Linked DNA regions of Notamacropus eugenii. The protein of the gene in region 2 interacts with the protein of the main gene of each other region in a biochemical or structural test. Links are inferred from orthologs where the notes say so. Each region holds a gene or a part of one and is shown on either strand. Other genes may lie near its edges.

Region 1 (7,420 bases), on a different chromosome or scaffold from region 2:
GAAAGTCTTAGTGCCCCAGGCAACTTTTTTTTCTTAAGATCATAAGTTACAGAGATATATTGTTGATCTACATTGGTAGAGGAGAGTACTAGGAATTAATCACATAGTTAAGTGGTCAGTACAAAAAAAATTAAGAAGATGCAAAATGAATATGGTATAGGTAAACTGTTGTAGCCCTTTAAGCTAGTTCATCCAGCTGAAAAGACCTTTGGCAATATTTTATGGCTATCTCTTAAGCTAATAGGGTAAAAAATTTTAAAGCTTATCCTTGTTTCTTGTGATGAATATATGTGTACAGTTGCTTTTTTTGTTTGTTTGTTTTAAGTTTGCCAGTGCTCTGAGTAAACATTTCTAAAGATTCTTTGAATTTGAGAAGTCTTGCTTAGCTGAATAAGTCAAGACCAAAACTTTATGAGGGTCTGACATAAAGATATATGAAAGAGACCTGGCAGCACTGCAGATATTGACATCTTCAGGTGAATTAGTCAACAATTTCATCCAATTTCCTCCACTGTATAGAGAGGTTCTATAAAGCCATCTTTCAACAAGCCCCTGCAAGTGGGCATTTTGTATTGTATGGAGGTTATATACATTTAATTTACATAAAAAAACTGGAGCGACTTTTCAATTTAAGAAATAAAAACATGCCCTCACACACTTTTAAAGTGTCCTCTATATTGTAGTTTCCATCGACATTCCATAAATGCTTATTGTGCACCTACCAGGTGGCAGCCACTGATAAAGAATATTATAGGGAGAAATGAGACTCAGTTTCTCCTAGTAGACTAGTAGAATTAGCTGGCCTGAAGAATTAAGGCCCCCTAAATAGAGCTTTGAGGACTGAATTATTCCATCTATCTAAACTGATCAAATTCAGCATATTATTGAAATCTCCACTTCCCTAGAGCTAAGTAGACAGCCTTAGCCAGCCCTGATACTTATTATTCCTTTCCCCTTGAAATACCCAAATAGTGAGTTGTTCTAGCACAATTTGCATATACATGCTGACATGTTCCAGATTGCTTAAGGGGGACAGAATTCATTAACTTTTACTTTGCAGCACTTCAGAGCTGTGGAAAAACTTTGTGAGTAACTTTTAATGATTCTGCGTGTTCTTCTGCATAAACATGTTTCCCTCACCCTCCAAAAACCCAGTAGAAGTGGTGTGACACTAGAAGGATCAAAATAAATGAGTTGCACATGCCACTTTATCCTATTTCTAAACTCTTCTGTGACTCACTGGAGCTCCGTTTATTCTCAAATGAAAAGATGAAACCATTTGTTTCCCCTTCTTCCCTCTGGGTCCACACAATGCCTTTATTTGAAACCACTGAAAAATGATAAAACCTTCAAACTCCTCTGCTGGGTCACAGAACAACCACAGCCCTATTTAGGGCTGAAAAAAATCTCATCTTCCAATCAAGTTTTTGTGAAGGCTCATAAGAGGATGATCTCCCTTTCACCAGGAACTACCTCCAGGATAAGTCTTCATCCAGGATGCTATCTTTCACTCTGGAGTAACTGCTTAATTTGTCTCAAGAAAAGATCTGCCTGATGGAGAAAACTGCATGAAACTCAACGACCCTTTCCCCTACTCCTTATTCTTTCAACTTCACAAAATGTGTATGAGGGGGCGGAAGGGGGCCTGAAATACCCTTAACAAACTAGCAAACTTCTTATCCATAGGCAACTAATAAATAAAATGTGTTGAGGAGTTTGCAGAGACTACCAGTTCCAGCAGTGCAGTTTGGTTTCATTTCTGAACCCTAGCTAAGCAACCCACCTAAGTAGTTTACGTTTGATGTCTTCTGAGACTGGGCTTCTTGGGCGTCTGCTCCACTGAACTAGCATTGGGAGAAGTGTCTGAGACCTCTTCTTCAGTAATGTTGGCTCTTTTGTTTTGAGGTGAGACATCTAGCAGGGGAAATTGTGGAGAGGAGGAGGGGAAGACAAGCAACAGATTTTATTAAAAGCATTAGCTAACAAAAGTTAGCCGGGGGAAGGGAGGGGGGAAATACTACCACCACCCACAATCCTGGAGCAATCTGATTGTATTAAAATCCTGAAAATATTGTTGCTATTAACAAAGACCTGCTCCCAAGACCCCGGTACCTATCGAGGGATAACATAGCGCAATCTTTCCCAAGGGATAATTAGGAACATCCTAGCTGCAAGATAATAGTTTGGGTGACTAACATACCTTATGATGGCAGACTGGGGGAGGGGACAGGTGTTTTAGGAAGGCGGTGGGTTTTAAACGTTAAGTTTACAGATAAATTTTTACACCGACTGGCAGGAAACACAACTAGTAGCCTTAACTCAAAAGAAATGATAACTAGTTAGATGAGAGCACCGGAGCGTAAGGTTAATAGCTTCAGCTACCGATGGAAAAGCCAAGAACTGAGCTGGTGTTCTCTAGACACAACTTCGGGGACGGACCTCCAGTAAAGCCAAGGAGTGGCCCAGACAGACCGAGTAAACAAGGGAGGGGTTTGTTTTATTTTAATTTTAAAGGAGCGATTACCATCCGTGGCTGGTCGTTTCCTCGTCTCAGTGCACTGGTCTGCCAAACTCGTCTGGCTTTCGGATGCACCCTCAGTCTTTTGATCTCTTAAGTGGGTGTCCTCTGAGATTCCCTGAGAAGCAATAAAAAACCCCGCTTGGCGCACTCCGTTGAGATCACCGCTCTCCTGGCCGGGCCCCTGGCATCTCCCTTTGGGGTTCCGCGGGGGCCTGAAATAAAACTCGGGCAAACTGTCTTTCTCCACAGGTTGCCACTCATAACTCCCCTCCAGGGGTTTGTGATTCCGAAAGTCGAAGTTCCACTTGCGCTGGCAGTCCTCCTCGATGTCCCTGCAATGCTTCTTTAAGTCCTGCGTTAAATCTTCATGGTTCACCGGGCCGAAGAGGTTTCGGCAAGCTGAAGGCTTGGGGTACTCCGCCGGCCTGCCTTCCATCCGCTCCAGGGTCGGGCTCCCGTCCGAAATACGCACGTTTGACATCGTCCTCCCTCGTCTCCACTCAACTTTTAAAAACGACAACAACAAAAAAATCCGAACACGTAGCCCCTTTTATATAGGTCCCGCGATTCCCTTTCGGGGCCAAGGGAAACAAACAACCACCAATAATTACACAAGCTTTAGGATCAGTGTTGGGTTTGGGGGAGGGGGCAGGGGGAAGCCCGGGAGAGCCAGCAGAAAAGTCTCCCAGCAGATCAAGTGTAAGGGAGAGAGGGAGGGAGGGACGTAGGGAGGGAGAGGGAGGGGGGGAAAGGAGAGAAAGGGAGGGGAGGGGAGGGGAGGGGGGAATTGGAAAAGCTAGTCCAAGACCCAGCCGGTAAGAGCCTGTGGGTTTCCCAAACCGAGCCGCGGAGGAAACAACAGAACAAAACCAAACAAAAACACCTGGCTGATCTCAAAAGTCGTGGTGTAGGAAGAGACTGGGAAAGGGAAGGAATATAAAAAGACACCCCAAAAAGCCGAGCACTTTTTTTTAGTTGCCCAATATGGCGGTGGAAGGGAGGCTGAAGAAGGAGAAAATGATTGACATTGCAAATCTATTTAAACAGAGAAGGGGAGCCATTGGCTGTGGCTTCGGGAGCCACCCCGCGGAGGCTGGTTCGCTGCGTTTAGGCGCTTTGCCTTAAGGTAGTCCGGGCGCAGTTCTGCCAGATACCTCTCGACGCTACCGAAATCGTGCTGGTTTGCAAAGCAGAGGAATGAGACTTGTGCGATCGCGAGGTATCGGGGGTGGGAGCTGGGGGGCGAGGGGGGTCTGGAGTAAGCAACGCTCTCAGGCTAGTCTTTGAGAAATTAAAAGTCAAAAATAAATAGCATAAATTGGCAGTTCACGGAGTTGGGCGGGCGCAGCTCTTCTCGTTTCGGATCCTGCTCTTCCTAGTCTCACCGGCGGGGGGAGGAAGGAGGCTGGTTCCATACAGTTTGCTTGGTACCTAAAAGATCTGCTCATCCTGCTCCGTGGTACCCCCGCCAGCTTGGGCTGCGAAGGTCAGAAAACCTAAAGGCTGTGAAAGTCGCCGGCCAGAATTGGAGGGAAGGGGAGGCGACGGGGCGCGGAACTTGGGGTGGTGAGCCGGCTTGGCGCTCAGGCTCAGCTGGAAAGCTCCGTAGCTTGTACCGACGTCTCCCTTCCAGAGCAGCCTGATAAGGAGCGGAGGGGCCAAGGGGTTAGGGCAGTAAACAGGAGTCAACTTTTCCCAGAAAAGTCAGGGGTAGCGAGCAGAGCTTGGATGACTAGAGTATTTAGAAGTGCATGTATAGGAAAAAGGAACAAAAGCCAGGAAACGACCTTAGATAAAAAGAGTCGAGTAAGAATCATCTGGAGCTAATCCCAGAATCAAAGGTTTTGCTGCTCTCCCTACTAGAGTCCAGGAAAAACGATGTTCTCATAAATGTAGAAACCTGTTTCTGTCTCTTTAAATTCTTCAACCGTTTGGCTGTAGCAATTTCTTCCACCTGAGACCAGCCACTAGCAAACAACATCCTCTCTTCCATCAACTGTTCCCTCATCTTTCTCTTTTCCCTATTCTCAGTATCACCGCCCCTCCCCCCTAACCCTCACTATCTGCAGCAGCTCACCCAGGATACAAATTTCAGATGCAAGTGAAGTGATAACCTGCAAATTACTTTAAGGTGCATATTATTCTCATTGGACGTGTCTTTTGGAATAATTATGAAACTTCTACTGCCATGTCAACTCATCTGAACTAGCGATGATTTGGATACTTTCCCAGTCTGTTACCCTCTGCAACACTGGAGCTAAGAATCAACATTTTTTCCCCAACAGTGCTCAGGAAGTTAAAACAGGAAAATGGAGGGGGGTAGGGGGAAGGTGGGACCGAGGCCAGATTTGATTACAAAGCAAGAGGTTTTGTATAAGTGCCTCCACTCCATATACAGATTTCTTCATATGGGCCAGTAGTGCATTTCAGTATTATTGGAGGCTGCCTTCCTTCAACTGTAGGGTAGTATCAGGTTTTAAGCCTGCTTTTGGAGGGTTTGATGTAAAACTTGTGGCCAGTCATAGGTGTGTCTGATGCTTGAATTTTTCCAATGATTTGACCCCGACTTTTCTTTCCTGAGGACATTGTTTGGCCTTTTTTTTCCTCTGGAGAGGGAGGTGGGAGGGAGCATGTGAGGGAGCATTTGCTCCCTCTAGCACAGAAAAGATTGGCTTATTTTGCATGGAGTACTGATTACTTCTTCGCTATAATGAGAGGTGGTTCTGTAGATGGCCTTCAAGATAACATCTTATGATTCTGAGGATTATAGATCAGCAGTTCAAGTAGAAAGGAAATGCCAAAGAAACAACGCAACACCCAAATAACAGGTGTAGGAGTCAGTGACAGAGGACAGGAGAAATTCTTGCCAATTTCTAAACATGCTTAATGTTTCCTTTTTTGTTGTTCTTATTCCATACTTGATGTACACCAACAAACCTCAACATTTCCTTATGCAAAGAAAAACAGAAAAAGAACATTGCTTATAAACCATGAGTCAAATATACATGGGTTGGGTCATCACCTTACTTCCAAAAGCTGTTCTGATTATGTGTCCTTCTAAACCTTCTGTTCTTTTCTTGTCCATATCAAATTATTGATTGACATTCTTGTCTTTCATTTTCGGAGAGCCCTGTTAACACTAGTCACTAGTCACTAGTCACTGCACTCCACATTCCCCTAAAAAAGAAATTAAAACCTTCCCTTGTAATACATTGGCCTAGTATAACAAAACAGATCCAACCAAAACAGATATTGAAGGTGTTTGCAAATGTTGTGTGCCTTTCTGTATCTCTAATCCATTCACCTCTCTGTCAAAAGGCAGAAGGCACATTTCATCCTCTGTCTTATGGAGTTATAGTTGGTCAAGTCCTTCAAAGTTGTTTTTCTTTATAATTTTATAGTTACCACCTAAATTGCTGTCCTCGTACTGCTTATTTTACTCTGCATCTGTTCATATCTCTTGGTAAGTTTCTCTGAATCCTTCCAGATCATCATTTCCTATGACTTGATAGCATTTATACTTATAAGGGATTTTTCTTCAACCATTCCTTCAACTGATGGGCTTCTAGTTCACTGCTACAAAAACAGTGCTGCTATGAGTATGTACATATGAATTCTTTTCATCTTTCTTTTATCTCTTCAGGATATATGTCTATTTGAAGTATTTCTGAGTCAAAGAGTATGCACAGTTTAGCGATAGATGTGGTTTTTAAAGAGAGTTTTCTACCCGTTTGTTGTCAAAGAAGAGTTCATTCTTTGTATGCAGAAAATCTTCAGAATCTACTGCCTTCACTGTCTCAAGGCCCACCTCTTCCTCTCCCTCTGTCTGTGTCTCAGAAACTTTTTGGTAGAGACTGGAAAGGTCAGGAGGATGGAGCTTGATAGTCTGGGCCAACCATGTCACCTACTGTTGCATGTGAATTAAAAAAAAAAACCTGAAGAAATCATCCAAGAAACCAAGGTAATTCTAATCTTTTGTCCTTGCTCCTTTTCTAAGGGTGGTAAATATATTTTAACTTTTACAATTTCTTTTAGTTTGTTTCTTTGGGAGATATTTTTAATAATGGTTGTATTCATAATATTTCTGCCCCTTCATTTCTGAAATTAGCATGTCTATTGTAGTTAGTCTCTAAAAGTTCAAACTAGGATCATTCCACCTTAAGAAATTCAAACAGCCTACAGAAAGGTTGCATCTTTGGGAGAACTCTATAAAATAGTGTTTTTTAAAGTCAAGGCACACACATCTGTGTGGCCAATATGAAGAGCCAAGGCGTCTGTTATAGAAACATAGGAGCATTTTAAAAATACTATGGACCTCCTAAGAAAAGGGACTCTGAAATGTTCAGAGTACTATTCTTCTCCCTAAAGAGGAAAAGGGAAAAAAGGAGAATACTTTGTAGGAAAACAGTCCAGAGTGACTTCCATGTGTCTCAGGGACTCTAGGTTCACATAAACCCAGGTCTGATGGGGAGGGGGTGCAGGGGGGGGGGGGGGGGGGAGGGTTGATCCCAAAGGAGCCATTATTGCTCTTTGCCTTCAGGCTGGAGTTTTTACTCTGGGAAAAATCTGAAGAAAGCTTAAGTGTAGCTCACTCAGTGTCTCCTCAAACGTAGGCAAGGGTCCCCTAGTCTTATATAGCATTTAATATGAAACACAGATATTGAATATGGGACAACCTTTATTTCACCCTCTACATAAAATTCTTAAAATGCAAAAGATTAACAGGAACCTAGGTACAGAAACATAAAGCTCTTAAGACACTTCTTAGATTGTCCCATGCCCCACAAGGTAAAGACAGTTCTGGGGAATCCTGAACAAAAGTACTCTCCATTGGCAGCCTTAGTGACAGACAGATGCCTGGAGTCCCTACTGCTGAGGAGGCTGAGATTACTGGATTCC
Region 2 (7,026 bases):
ACTGAGAAAAAAAACTGTACCAAAGGCCTGTCGTTGGCTCCCTGCGGGAAGGGGAGGGGAAAAAGGAGAGGCACTCCCCCACCCAGAAACACTCAAGTCTCACCCAGTGCAGATAATTGCATGGACATCAGAGGTGGGGGGTGAGACACAAAATCCAAACACGCCAAAAAGTTATTCCCTTAAAATTAGTCTACACCCTGAGCCACCCTAGAATCAAGAGGCATTCTCTCCAAACAGCTGAAGGCCTCTTTTGGGCAGAACCTAGCTCACCATGCGACCCTAGGCAAGTCACAAGCACTGTGGACTTGTTTCCTCACCTGTAAAAAGGTAAGGAAATAATAAAGCCTGCCCCACCCCCTCTTACGGTAAAAGTTGAATGAAGTAATAGGTAGGAAAGCATTTGGGGAAACCAAGGGACTAGAAACAAACATTGTCCCACTCACTGGTCGAACTCTCAAGAGGCCCAGCATCTGTATATTTATTATAAGATGCCTTGCAAACTTTAAAGCCCTATATATAAATGCTAGCAGTTATTGTTATTAAGTCCTACCTTCTCCAGGAAGCCCTTCTAGACTACTACAACTTGTGCTGACCTCTCCCTTCCTGACCAAGTGCACTAGTTCTGAAGTCCCGTTTTACATATGATCTTGCATCATATATTGTTTACAAAGGCAGTCTCCAGACAGAATGCCCAGACGCACAGATCACATCTCTCCTTCTGATCTCTCCCCTGGTCAGAGCTGAGCACAGAACCAGACACACAAACTCAATGCAGAGTAAGGCAGCACAGCACACTTGCTAGCTTGTGGTCATGGACAAACCATTTCCCCTCTCTAGGCCTCAGTTTTCTTATCTGTAAAATTAGACTGCTTACAGCACAGTTGTGAAGAAAGTGCTTTGTGAACCTAAACACATTAAAGACCATTCAAAGGGTGAGGATGAAGGTGTGAAATTTTCCAGGTTTCAAGAACAAGCTTGATGGGACCTAGAGATTAGTAGAAACTGAGAATCTCCCAACTCTTCCCTGGAGCTGTGCAGACCCCAAAGTTGCCCTCAAAAGACTAGCGGCTTTATAAATTCAAAATCAAACAACAAGGATTAAAAACTTGCTACGTGGAAAGAATCCTGTGGTCTGTGCTGAGATATGAACTTAAATGAGTCCCTCATGAAGCTCACAGACCGACAACAGCTGGAATGGCAAAAGAAATAGTTCAGAAAGGATAGGTGTCTTAAGAACCACCAAGTTATTCATGTCTTTCCCAAATACACACACCCACACAACCAACCTTCTCATCAGTGTGCAACCTGGCAACTCCTTGGTAACTTACAGTTGAAGACAGTTGCCTGAGGCAGTGAGAAGTTAGGCTTTGTGATCACACAATGAGCATGTGTCAAGAGGCAGGATTAGAACCCAGATCTTGGCAGTCTTTCATTCAAAGTACTTCAAGCAATGGCTCTCACAATCTAAAGGATGATCCTCTTTTAGAACTAATGAAACTGGCACAGAGCGCTGTGACTGGCCAAGGTGGTAGCTGGGCTGAAAACAAGTTTCTTAATTCCTCAACAAGCACTCTTTCCAGCCTATCCCCTCCACCCCACATAATAATAATGGACTCTATTTACCCCCCGCTGATAGATGAGGAAACTGAGGTGGAGAAAGGTAATTACTGAGGAAAGGTCATATTGTAAGTGAATACATTAACGACAAAAATAATCCTTCCTCACAGGTACAAGATGCTTTATAGCTTCCAAAGCACTTTCCCTTCCATTCTCTCATTAAATCCTCACAATAGGAGGCAAGGCGGTGAATCCTCCTCTCCCCACAGCCTAGTAAATAAAGACCTGCCAGTCAAGGGCCACCAGAGGCCAGCCCCAATTTACCCACCCAGGAATCTCACCTCTACAGTTAATTCCAGCTGTTTACTGTCCCCTCCATGAAGCCGTTCTCCACCCCTCAGCTAAGTCATCTCTCCCTCTTCCAATTTCTGCCTTTTAGACTGAAAAGCCCCGTCATATTCTCTCTTGAATCAATTATTTGGAGACAAGTCTTTTCCCTCTGTTAGACTGCAAGCTTCCTGAGAGAAGGGCATGCCAGGCTTCTTTGTATTCGAAGTGTCAACCGCAGGGTCCTGCCCACAACAGGCACTTCACATTTGCAGAACTGAATTTTACAGACCTAGACAAGTGAATCGATTTGCCCAAGGTCACACAGAAGAGACACGAGAGATGGGACCAGCACCCAGGGCTGTCCAGCAAAGTCTGATGCCGGGGATTTCGAGGAGCAAATCTTCCCCAAGCCCTGGCAGGGGCTCCCCTGGGGTGGCTAATCCGGTGTGGCCCAGCTCCCCGGGAGCCCCACGCCTCCCTAGGTGGGCACCTCAGGATGTGTGCCCCCGGGTCCCTTCCCGGGGGGAGGAGGGGAGGGATGGCACGCCGGCCGGCCCAGGCTCGCTCCCGGCCCCCAGCCCCGGCGCGCCCCGCCACGCCCCCCGCCAGCGGGCCGAGGGCGCCAGGAGCCTTGCGCTCGCAGGTCTGGGCTCCGGGGCCCGGCTGGCTTGGGGCGGCCAACAGCTTCCTGTTCGCTAATCGCAGGATACGGCGGCGGTGGGGAGAGGAGAGAAGGTCGGGGAGGAGAGGCGGGCAGAGGCGGGAGGGCAGCCAGCCCGGCCCCGCTTCCTTTTTTTTTTTTTTTGCACAAAAGGAAACACAAAAAGCCACGTCCCGGGGCGCAACCCCGTGGAACAAAGCGCCCGCGCCCTGGCCGCGCCGTGCCGCGGGTCTTGCGCCCGGGCGCACCAGGCCGGACCCCCGCCCCCGCGCCATGCGCCCCCCCTCTCCCGGCCCTGGGGCGCAGGAGGACGGGCTTCCCGACCCCGCAGGCCGCCGGCTCGGCCGGGATGCGCGCTTACCTGCGGAGAGCCGGGCCTGGCCAGGCCCCGGGTGGAGGGGGGGGTCTGTGCCGCTGGCGGGGCGCGGGCCTAGCCGGGCCGGGGCCGCCTCCCGCTCCGCATGCCAGTCCGCTCCGGGGCGGGGGGCTGGGGGCGGGGGGCGCGGCGCCTCCCCTCCCTCCTCCCCTCCTCCCGGGCCCCGGACGCCGCCGCCGCCGCCGCAGCCGGGATTGGCCGGGCCGGGGATCCAGCTGTGGCAGCCGCTGTTACAGCTGCCGAGTCCGGCTAGCCTGCCCTCCTCCCCCCTCCCCCTCCTCCTCCTCCTCCTCCTCCTCCTCCCGCCGGATCCGGGGCCGGGCGGGGGCTGGGCCGCGCTGGGGGCGCAGGGTCCGGCCGGGGAGGGCAGGAGGGAGGGGCGGCCCGGAGAGCCACCCCCCGGCCGCCTGCAGCGCTCTGGGCTGGGGCTACCGCGGCCCGGGCGGGCGAGGGGGGGGCGCGAGTCCGGGCGCGGGGCCTCCGGATCCCTCCAGCGCGTCCGGCTCCTCCTCCGCCCTGGCGCCCCGGGCTCACGCTGCCCTGCACACACGCTCCCCCACACTCACACACTCACAAACACAGACACACACCGCCCCGGCTAGCGCGCCCGCCCTCCCCTTTCCCCGCCCTCCCCCAACTATGCAGCCAACATCCGCCCGGCTCCTCCCCGCCTCCTTCTTCCTCTTTTCCCTCCTCCCCCTTCCCTTTCTCGTCCTCCTCCTCGTCTCCCTTCTCTTTTTCATCCTCTTCTCCTTCCTCTTCGCTCTCTTCTCCCCGCTCTCCCTTCCTCCTTTTCCTCCTCCCCTTACGGGGTCTTAGGAACACAGACTGTGACCTTGGCCATTATCCAGCCCAAGCCCCTCATTTGACAAATGAGGGAACTGAGTCTGAAAGGTTAAACAGGAGTAAAGCCCACTCCTTCCTCTTGTCTACTCCCATCTTCATCAGCTTTTAGCCCTAAGTTTGTTTTAGATTTGAATTTAGAACTGAAAAGAAGCTTGCTGGTCCTCTGTTAGATAGCCCCCTCTTTTTACAAGTAATAAAATAGCTGCTGCTGTGGCCAGACGCTTTGTAATCAATCATCTCATTGGATCCTCATGACAGTCCCAGGAGATCATTGCTATTATTAGCCCCATTTTGCAGGTGAAGAAACTGAGGCCCAGCGTTTAAGTGACCTGCCCAGGGCCACGTAGGTAATAAGTAACAAAGCTAGACTTTGAAAACCATTTGTTTTCCAGGGGAAGGAGAATAATTATACAGTTTCCCCACCCACACCAGGACCGGAATGTTTTGGCAAAAAGCTGGGAAATGCAGAATTCCCTACGTCTGATTCATGGCACTTCCAGATTGATGAGGGTGAAGATAAAATTGACATACAGGTCTATTACCCATTCTAAGAAAGTCCCTGCTCGACCTGGCTCTGAGAATGACCCAGCCTAGCCAGAGTAAGAATTTCTATTATAAGCAAGATGCTCCAGAAAAAGAAGACTGGGAGAGAACTTATTTGGCTAGCTAATGGAGCCAACACCATTGGACCCCTGAGCTATGAGACTAAACTGACACCAAGGACTGAACCTAAGGTTTAGGCAGGGGGGAAAGGAGACTCAGGAACAAGGCAGTGGACCCCTGGACCAGTCTTTTCTGTCTTCTGCCCTTTCACTGGAGAGAAGGATATGACCTAAGCCCCTGGATGCTGGTACTATGTTCAGTTCAGATATATAGGGGAGACGGAAAAGGAATAATCTTGGGCAGACCTTGTCCTCAGGAGAACTCACAGTCTAAGGGTGAGGAAGAGACTTATCCATGAAAGACAAAACAATTCATGGTAATTTCTAACTGAGTGCTACTAACTAGAAGCTATGAAAAAGGATCAATCAGTCAGGTGGGAGGAGAACCAGGAAAGAGACTTGTCATGAAAACCTAGAGAGAGGAGAATATCCAGGAAAAGAGGGTGAAAGCCAGTGTCAAACGCATCAGAGAAGTCATGAAGCATGAAGATTGTTACATTTGTCAATTAAGAGATCATTGGTAACTTTGGAGAAAGGCATTTTGGTTGAGCCAGACTGCAGAGAGTTGAGAAGAAAGTGAGACATGTATGATTGATATTGCATTTTTTGCCTTCTTAAGAGGGAGGGGGGGAAAGGTGGGAGGGACCAAATTTGGAATTCAGTTTTAAAAAATGAATTCTAATAAATAAGTTTTAAAGAAATACATATTTATTGAGCACTACACTAGAAATAGAAGAAACAAAGTTTAGATAAGACACGACTCCTGTTCTCTTAAAGGTCTCCTGCTCTTTAGGAGAGGGATGTGATGAGAATAAAATGTGTCTCAAGCAGGTTTTCTTAACTTGAGATCCATAAACTTGTTTGCTTTTGCTTTTTTTGTTTTGTTTTTGCCAACTATTTAAATAATCACGACTTCTTTAAAAAAAAGAAGAAGAAGAAAGTGAGAGGAAAGGAAATGGAGGCATCCATTGTAGTGAACCTTCTCAAGGAGGTTAGCCAGGGAAGGGAAGAGACAGAATGATTATTAATGGGGAGGGATGGATTAAATGAGAGACTTTTGAGGATGGAAGAAAGACGGGTGTGTTTGTAAGCATTGGGAAAGTTGTCAGTAGATGGAGAAAGATTGAAGATTAGATAGGGAGTATGGATGATGGAGAAAATCTGCTGGAGAAAAAAAATGGGATAGAGAGGGAGAAGGGGCCATCTCTTCACGTGTGGCTGAGGTGAGGGAAGAGGCAGTGGGTGCAAATGTCTGGAGAAATAGCTTCTGAGGAAAGACTTCATTCATTCAGTGAAATAAAAAGCAAGGTTCTTAGCGGATAGGGGGGATACACAGGAAACTGAAACAGCTAAACAGGCTTACTTACTATGCCTGGTACACAACATTCCATTTCCCATCTCCTTGAAGTGGAGAGAGTGCTAGGCCTGAAATCCGAAAGACTTGAGTTGGAGTCATACACTAACATTTACCTCAGTTCCCTCATCCATAGAAATGGATATTATAATAATAGTGTATCTCCCAGGGTTGCTGTGAGGATCAGATGAGATGATAAATGTAACTCACTTACCACACTGCCTGGCATATAGTAAGCACTCAATAATTTCAGTCAAGTTCAACTCTTCCTGATGTCATTTGGGGTTTTCTTGACAAAGATATTAAAATGGTTTGCTATTTCTTTCTCCAGCTTATTTTACAGATGAGGAAACTGAGGCAAACAGGGTGAAGTGACTTGCCCAGGGTCACACAGCTAAAGCCAGATTTGGACTCAGGAAGAGGAATCTTTGTGACTTCAGGCCCAGCACTCTATCCACTGGGTCACCTAGCTGCCCAAGCACTATATAAAATTAGTTTTTATTATTATTGTTATTCCATCCTGGGAATGCAGCCCCACCTCACTTCTTACAATCCTTAGTTTCTTTTGAAGTTCTAGTCATGTGGAACCTCCTACATGAGACTTTTCCTATAACCCCAGCTGCTATTTTGTATTGGCTTCAATGTGCATGTGTTGTTTTCCCAATAGAATAAAAATTCCTTTAGAGTAAAGACTGTTGTCTTTTCTCCTTTATGTCCCAGGTGCATAGCACAGCACTTGATACACAGTAGATGCCTTGTGTATTGTAGGCACAGAATATATCTTCATTGAATTTGTACATTCTTGAAAGGTACATTATGAACGGAATTGTCTTAAATGGAGACCTATTTACCCACTGATTTACAGGATCCTCCAATTAGAAGTAATGTCACCCTCCTTAAAACCTTAGAGTTAAATGGGTGCAGTATTCTTATATGAAAGAAAGCACCGCTTACAGCTTCAGGGAAAGCCCCTTCAACTTTGGATGTCAGCATCCTTATCTGTAAAATCCTAGAGTAAAAGGTCAAACAACAATAACAAAATGGGCATGATAATACTGGTACAACCAATTTCACAAGTGGGTGGTGAGGAAATGCTTTGTAAACTCTAAAGCACTCTAAAAACATAAGTTATCATTTTATTGTGGCCCTACTCACATTCGGTCTTGGTTTCAAGTTATCATACACACGTCCTTTTCTTCCTTCTTAATTCCAAGTTCCCTGAGGGAAGATCTTATCCTTC

What was found. The genes of interacting proteins can lie anywhere in the genome.
Region 1: of the proteins of AKT1 (region 2) and CDKN1B, one has a biochemical effect on the other in vitro, tested with the Homo sapiens proteins (2 studies listed by BioGRID). The link is inferred for Notamacropus eugenii from reciprocal best matches to the Homo sapiens genes AKT1 and CDKN1B.

Annotation. Positions count from the first base shown.
Region 1 is NC_092874.1:198,276,306-198,283,725, forward strand, and holds the start of CDKN1B (cyclin-dependent kinase inhibitor 1B), read right to left. Parts: upstream 3,003-7,420; coding exon 2,525-3,002; exon of another isoform or gene 1,915-2,524; coding exon 1,793-1,914; 3' UTR 1,784-1,792; exon of another isoform or gene 1,467-1,783; intron 1-1,466. UniProt on the Homo sapiens protein: Important regulator of cell cycle progression. Inhibits the kinase activity of CDK2 bound to cyclin A, but has little inhibitory activity on CDK2 bound to SPDYA. Involved in G1 arrest. Potent inhibitor of cyclin E- and cyclin A-CDK2 complexes.
Region 2 is NC_092872.1:346,211,333-346,218,358, reverse strand, and holds the start of AKT1 (RAC-alpha serine/threonine-protein kinase), read right to left. Parts: upstream 3,031-7,026; 5' UTR 2,910-3,030; intron 2,008-2,909; exon of another isoform or gene 1,899-2,007; intron 1-1,898. UniProt on the Homo sapiens protein: AKT1 is one of 3 closely related serine/threonine-protein kinases (AKT1, AKT2 and AKT3) called the AKT kinase, and which regulate many processes including metabolism, proliferation, cell survival, growth and angiogenesis.